2 linked regions of the Coturnix japonica genome follow. The main gene of each other region encodes a partner of the protein of the gene in region 2 in a complex. Links are inferred from orthologs where the notes say so. Each region holds a gene or a part of one and is shown on either strand. Other genes may lie near its edges.

What was found.
Region 1: TRAPPC8 (region 2) and TRAPPC12 share a complex: the UniProt entries of both Homo sapiens proteins name them as parts of the multisubunit TRAPP (transport protein particle) complex. The link is inferred for Coturnix japonica from reciprocal best matches to the Homo sapiens genes TRAPPC8 and TRAPPC12.

The regions. Positions count from the first base shown.
Region 1 is NC_029518.1:85,458,917-85,462,833, reverse strand, and holds the start of TRAPPC12 (trafficking protein particle complex subunit 12), read right to left. Parts: upstream 2,872-3,917; 5' UTR 2,789-2,871; intron 2,781-2,788; exon of another isoform or gene 2,710-2,780; intron 2,285-2,709; 5' UTR 2,281-2,284; coding exon 1,075-2,280; intron 1-1,074. Other genes in the region: EIPR1 (EARP and GARP complex-interacting protein 1), read left to right, coding at 2,955-2,996. UniProt on the Homo sapiens protein: Component of the TRAPP complex, which is involved in endoplasmic reticulum to Golgi apparatus trafficking at a very early stage.
Region 2 is NC_029517.1:96,035,919-96,039,735, forward strand, and holds part of TRAPPC8 (trafficking protein particle complex subunit 8), read right to left. Parts: intron 3,343-3,817; coding exon 3,185-3,342; intron 2,730-3,184; coding exon 2,287-2,729; intron 1,380-2,286; coding exon 1,232-1,379; intron 19-1,231; coding exon 1-18. UniProt on the Homo sapiens protein: Plays a role in endoplasmic reticulum to Golgi apparatus trafficking at a very early stage. Maintains together with TBC1D14 the cycling pool of ATG9 required for initiation of autophagy. Involved in collagen secretion.

The sequences.
Region 1 (3,917 bases), on a different chromosome or scaffold from region 2:
AGTTTTGCCCAGCTATATATTTCTCAACATCTTCCCAACTGCAGCCCAAGACCATTGCAGTTCTGTGTTTACTACTTCTGGAGATTTCAGAAGCTAATCAAGAAACTCAAATAGAGCTTAATTCATAGAATGGCTTGGGCTGGAAGGGAACTTAAAGACCACCCAGTTCCAACCCCTTCCAATGGGCTGGGTTGCCTCCCACCAGCTCAGGATGCCCAGGGCCCCATTCCACTTGGCCTTGAGGGCCTCTATGGGGTACCACAGTTTCTCTGGGCAACTGCACCAGTGCCTCACCAACCATGGAATTAAACACTTCTTCCTAATCTAAATCTCCTTTCTACTAGTTTAAAACTAGTCCCCTTTGCCCCTATAAAAAGATGTCATTCCTCCAGTTTACAAATGCATATTCATACTGAAACTTTAATGAATTATTGGAAACTGATTTAACATTAAAACATGCCTCCCAAAACGCTTTAGTTGGCATTTTGAGTACTTCGTAATTATAGTTTCAGTTAAATAAGCAATCCAAAGCCCTACAATCATAGAGAACAATGACAGCAAACCAAGGGATGTCTGGCCAGTGAAAGAGAACAGCAGGCCACTGAAAACCAATAACTGGATGTAATGCAATTCATGTAACCATAGAGAACCTCAAAACTGGACTACGCTAACCTGTTTGCTTATAAATAACAACAAAGAAAGCAGGAGGAAGCCCCCTTGATCCCCTTGCTGATTTTGCATCAGGTCTTACATAGAAATATACTACACTGACCTACTGTAATGTCATCTTTCCACTTATGCACTTTCATACATGTGCATTTATACTTGGATCCAGCTCTGGATTTTATGTAGGCTGTCAATACTGGTTTCCAATATAGCTAACAAATTGACTCAGATTTTGTTTTAGCCCTTTCAGGTACTAGTAGACAGTGTCATTAAATTTTCTAGTAAGGATGTGAGTAGTACAAAAGGGCAGCTGGCAACAAAGCACTACATTAAACACGTTATTGGAAAGCTCTTATTTAGCATTTCTAAAATACAACGAACAACCAAAGTACAACCACAGACTCTTACCTGGATATTATCAAATTTTAATCCAGGCATGGTGAGATTCTCTTTGTCTATGAATACAGTGCTGTACTGTTGTGTGGCAACTGAGATCAGAACGTTTCTGGTTTCCTCACTGGGAAGCCATGCATCGTTTCTTCTGTCTAGTTCACTCATATTTAAGGCTGTGGCAAATGGGTCATCACTCCCAGCAAATACAGCCTGGATTTGTGAGAATGGCTTGGGGGACTGTGTTGTTTCTAGTGATGCTTGAGGACCACTTGCTCCAGGTCTCCCATTTCCCACAGAGAAAGTAGGGTTGGGCTGAGCACAGGAACCTTCTCCACCATTTGACAAAGAGGACATCTGTTCTGGAACTGAAGAGCTTGCGTTGGGATTACTGACAGAAATAAAATTGGACGTAGTAAATGAATCAAAAAAATCTGAAGCTAAAGTATTAGTGTTAACAGTATCACCAAAGAACTTGCTTAGACTAGGACTGGGCTGAACCACCTGTGGATTAGACTTCACTGGAGTCTCAATGATACTACTGAAACTGGGAGATTTCACCATCTGAGGCTCGAAGCCATCAGGCAGGAACAGCTGTGGCTGAGCATTAGCATTGTTTGCTTGGCTGAAAATAGTACACACAGGGATAGGCTCAACCTCAGCAGATGGTTTGCTAGTTCTGGGCGATGATGTCTGGTCATCGAGTTTACTTTCCTCAATACCATTTGGCTTTGTTTCAACGGGAATGTTGTTTCCCAACTTTGGTTCATCTTTCTCTGTTTCCTGAATTGATTCCTCCTTTAAAGATGCCTGATCATCAGTTCCAATCTCAGAGATGTCTTTGGGTGTCTCTTCATGTTCAGTTTCACTCTCATTACTTAAAAGCTCTTCTTTGCCCACTTCTGCTTGAGTATTTTGGTTATCCTTAGCTTCCATTTGCTCTACAATCTCCTGCAGGCAACCGAGTTCACCGGTGTCATCTTCACTGTTGTTTGGAGAGTCTGAAATAATGACACTCTCCATCATTTGTTCATTAAGCTTATCTATAAAGTTATTAGAATCTTCTGATACAGTTTCATTCCCTTCAGACTCATCACCACCAAGATCAATGGTTTCCTCATGAAAAAGGATTTCTTCCCGAGTTTTCTGCTGAGTTGCATTTCCTCCGTCCTCTTCATCCAAGGTGCTCTGAGCATCCTTAGCACTGCCTGTACTATTCTCCATGGCACTGAAGGGAGAAAGGATACGCAGAAATTAGTTTGGCCACTCCAAATAACCACATACCAAACAAAAACTGTAACTTTTACACTAAAAACACAGACATGTCACCGTTTGACATTTTTCCTCCAATATCTGCCCAAGGAATGAAATCACAAAACGTCTCTCTTCAGCCCACAGCGTTCCGAGCAAACCCCAAGCGCTGGGATTCGCTGGCAGATACATCCACCTAAGCACACGCAGCAAGACAGCGGCTTTTGTGCCTGCAAGGACTGATCCGGCCTAGGCAGGAAGGGAAGCACGGCTGACACTGACACTAACACTGACACTGGCGCTGCTTCGGCCCCTCCCGCACAGACCGAGGCCGTCCAGGTTCGGGGCCTCCGCAGGGTCCCCCCGGAGCTTCAAGGTGGGCGCAGCACCCCGGGCACCTACTCTCCTCATCCTCCTCTGCGCCCTCCTGCAGGCCCGTGCCCCACTGCCGTCTCATCGGATCCCGTCCACCCCTACTCACCTCACCGCTCGGCCCGCCGCCCCCGCTGCTCTTCCCCACTGCGCCTGCTCCGCCGGCCGAGGAGGGCGGTATTGCGGCTGCGCCGGGTCCGCTCCGTAAAGCGGCCGACGGGCAGCGCCGAGGGTCAGAAAGGAGCAGAGGGGAGAGGCAGGCGGTGTGTGTCGGCATGGAGGACGACGCGCCGGTCATCTACGGGCTGGAGTTCCAGGTGGGTGCGGATGGAAGAGGGTCGGTTCAGCTTTCAGCAGCCGTAGGAGCCGTTGTGCCGCTCCTTGAGGCCCTCGGTGAGCTGAGAGGCCCCGCTGGGGCTGCTCCTTTGCCGTGTCCCTTTGCTGCGATGCTCGGCTGTGTCTCCGGCGTGCCCTGGGCTTCTGCTTCCTTGTCAGCTTCTTGTGTGCTTCTCTAGCAGCCTTCTCTTTTTTTGTGCTGTGTGGATGAGATGCCAGTAGTCTCCAGTAGGTTCTTCAAGCTGTTTCTTCCTTTTCAGGTTCTCCCCCCGCCCCATTCCTATTCTGAGGGTAGAACATGGAACTTAACAAGAAGTTGTGAACTGTACTTGGTTATATCCCTATATACCCTTGGAAAGGGTCCAGAGGAGGGCCACAAAGATGATCAGGGGGCTGGAGCACCTCCCCTATGAGGACAGGCTGAGGGAGTCGGGTTTGTTCAGCCTGGAGAAGAGAAGGTTGCGGGGTGACCTCATTGCAGCCTTTCAATACCTGAAGGGAACTTACTCCCAGGAGGGGAGTAAACTCTTCGAAAGGGCTGACAATGGCAGGATATGGGGAAATGGTTTTAAGTTAAAAGAGGGTAGATTTAGGTTGGATGTTAGGGGGAAGTTCTTCACTAGGAGAGTGGTTAGGCCCTGGAACAGGCTGCCCAGGGAGGTTGTGGATGCCCCGTCCTTGGAAATGTTCAAGTCCAGGTTGGACAGGGCCCTGGGCAACCTGATCTAGTAAATGTGTATGTTTGGTGGCCCTGCCAGGCAGGGGGGTTGGAACTACATGATCCTTGAGGTCCCTTCCAACCCGGGTCATTCTGTGATTCTGTGTGTGATTCTGTGAAAAGTGGTGCAGTTTCTTTCTCTGGAGATATTCAGGACCTGCCTGGATGTCTGCCTGTATGACCC
Region 2 (3,817 bases):
TTTAACACCAGTCTCACTCTAAGAAGGAAATAAAAAAAAAAAAAGTCAGATAAGAGCAGTCATAGTTGTCAAGTTCTTCATTGCAAAGTAAGCATTTGTCACAAACAGGCATGGCAAGAAAATCCATTTAACTCCTCATTTCAAACCATGTGCAATATAATACAGAGGAGAGATAAGGGGGGATCAAAGACCCACTATGACGTAGAACAATCCAAGAAATTTAATTCTAGTGAATAAAACTACACAAAGAAAGAAAATCCCAAAGAAAAATTCCCCCAAGGTGGCATTTTAGATACAAAAAACCTCCAACAGAAACCACTGCCTGAAAGGGCATTTAGTTTCTAAGATTACTTCAGCCTTCTTGCAAGATCCTAAAACCCAGGAGTTCAGGATTTTTATTACATATATACACATATGAGGATAAACAACATTCAGGGTTGTTTTTCTTTCATGGAAAGGAGGAGTCAACAGCAGAAAATTAAGTTCCACAGTGCGATCTGCAAATTAGACAAATGCACATTCTTCCTCCTCACCTTAGTAGCTGAATTAAAAACAGCATACACAACACAAAATGACAAATCAGCTCCATGATTCTACCACCGTTTACACATTCAGGAATTCTAATAAGCAGGACATTTGATTACCTTGCTTTATGGTTGAAAAATCGAAACAAACTTTAACTAAAAAACGTTGAGTACACTTGAGTTAGCATGGTAAGAAAAACTAAAACACTGTTATCTGCTCTGCTAAGTCAACAGACAACAACAGATATGTCTGCGCTTCCATTATACCTGCAAAAATTTGTTCAGGAGTTCTACTAAATACAAACACAGAATGTTCCCTCAGATGTCACTAATTCTACTGAGGGTGTGGCACACAGGGCAGCAATACAGACTGTCTCATTCAGGTCTATTTTCAAAGTCATGAACGTCAAAAACATCCATGACTTTGGAATAATCTTCCAAAAGGTACTGAAAGAAAAAGGCTTGAGATCACATACATTTAGGGGTAGAGACAGTTATACAGCAGATTCCCAGAGTGCTCTGATACATAGCTTTACTGTTGGAAAGAACGCACTAACATTAACTGGAATGATTAAGTATGAAAGGCTTACTTAATATTTCCAGTCAAAGCAATAGTTCAAAAAAAGCTTTAAACATTGGTTCCACTGGAGACATTTACACATACACTGAACTTAAGAACACTATCACTATTAAAATTAAGAACTTACAGTATTGATATTTTCTACATCCACAAACACCAACATGTTATCCCCTCTGCCTTCTTCATCTTCAAGTGCATTACTTCTGCAGACAGTAGCTCGAATATGCAGAGACCGGCTAGTACAAATAACTGCAGTGTGCCTTAGTACTCTATGACTAGGAAACAGGAAAGAGAGGAGAAAGACATTCTGAAGAACCAAGACTGATGTCCAGAGCACCTCATCAAGTCCACCTTTCACATTTCTCATTAATATTAACATTGTTAGACAATTTATTTCCTCAATCATCAAGACGACATTCTTCTATTACACACCTCAAGCACCATCATCCTGAAACTGTATTCTATGACATTCCCCATCCTGACCCACAGTTGCATTCCTTCTAGTCCGTGCTGCTACTTAATGCAGGCTAAGGAACATTTCTCCCAACAAACAAATCTAACATTCATCTCTGTAGCAGAATTACCCCCAGAAAAATATATAATTACATTTATTAAGTCTGCAACGTGTTTTCTTAGAAGGCTGAAAACTAAATAAAGCCTGTTTAAACTTCAGCTGTAGCTTTGAACCATAACAACTGTAAGGTAGTCTTGTAAGAACAGTATAGAAGGGTTAAGAAGGGAGGAAGAGACTCTTCGTTTCTTAATTTATCTGTTTGCTAAAACTATGCTATGGCCTCTTTGGTCTTCACTTTTCAGACCAATTAACTATTTATTCCAGAATCTTTGGAGAACTAGTTCCTCAGAAAAGTTCTCCTGAGCCTTTATAGCCTGGGACAAGGGCGGAACTAGAATAAGTGAACTTCAATACATTGAAAATGCTGTTAGCTTGTGATATCAAACTCAAATGCCCATTGTCCCAAGAGTATTCCATAAAGGAGCCATAAAACAGAGTGTAAATCAAACTTCACGTATAACTCCACATAGAAATCAGATAACACTGTATAAATATTATTTTAAAATTACAGACAAGCCACTTGAACATCTCAGTAAGTTTAAAGCTCAAGTTTATGTGCTTATTAACAGCTCAATGAGAAGGACGAGAAAGAAAAGTACAAAACTTACCACATCTTTGAGTGTCTTTTAATACTTTCATAGTAAAATAAGAAGTTTATTTCATGAACTCCTTCTTCATCTGGTCCCCGTAACCACATTGGCAACTGCACTGATGCCCCAGGAAGAAGAATCGAATCAGGAAGTGGGACATGTATTACCTCAGGCTGACCTCCCGTGCCAACCCCAAAGTCTACAGAAGAAGCTGAAGATAGTAGTGCTGTACGCACAGAGGTAGGATCTGTCACAACAGTCTTGTAAGCACTACAGTTCTCAGAAGCTGAAGGACTTAGTGGCGTTAGAACAGCAGTATTTGCACCAAAAGTAAAAAATTCCGGATGCTTGGACACAACTTTCAGCGCTGTAAGAGGACACTTGCTTACATTCACAAACTCTACATACGCTTTTCTGATTTCTCCACAGAGAAGTCCTGTAGGAAAGTTTATAAAGAACACCTGTATTGGAGAGAACAGGAGGAAAAGATTCTGAGCAACGAACCAAATTACAAACAGGCATTAAAAAAAACAACTAAAACACTTATAGTTTAAGTGCTGTCATTAACCAGGTAGATCACTTTAAGAAAAATCACAGTTTTAATTAACCAACTTGAAGTATTCTGGACTTACAGCAAACAAACAAAAATAACATATTTGCCCCTTGCATATATCCAGTAGTAATTTGGCTATAAAAGTCACAAACTAAACATTCTAAAGGGACAACTTCAGAACAACAACGATTGGAAGGCTTCAAGTTTCTCTTGGGAAACAAAACACAGACTTGGAACTAACAGGTCATAAATTAGCATGAAAAACTTAAATGTTAACATGGTTTATGAATTTGTTGTTTGAAACACTGTAGCTCTAGATTCAGCCATTTGTTCAAACCTGTGAATAGAAAAATTACTGCGTACCTCCAATAAAGGCATTTCTTCTGTAATAATGGGATCTAAACGTCGGTCAGGTCCATACTTAATAGATGTTTTCTCTTCTTTTGTGTTATTCAGTCGAGGCCCTTGGATTTCTAAGTCTTGTCGTCCTCGTACAGATAACCCATTGGAGACAAATTTCCCTGAAAGAATTTTTATAAGCCTTTTTTTTTTTTTTAATACCTCAAGTAACTTTTTCTAAAAAGTGATCAAAATTTCCTTTTTTTTTGTCACTGTGGGCTGATTAAGCATCATTACTAACAAAGAACTACAGTGACACAGCATGCATTATTACTGCAAGTTAAGAGCGCCAAATACATGTTGTAAACTAACTCTGCCCTCTATAATTGCTTACAATCCCAGCAGCTTAGAAAATAGGAACACCAGATTGAGTGGGAAAATTGCTGAGTGAATGCGATTAATTAATTTAATTTTCTAATTTCCAAGCTAGAAAAAAAATAGCATCAACCATTTCCTTTCAAAAACAGACCACCATTCTTCAAATGATTTTTATTCCAGAGTTTTAGCCATAAGATTTCCACTTCAGAGATAGCTAATCAAGCTTTATTATTTTTCAGACACTTTCAAGTAGGTACTTTAATTCTCTTTTAATCCAAA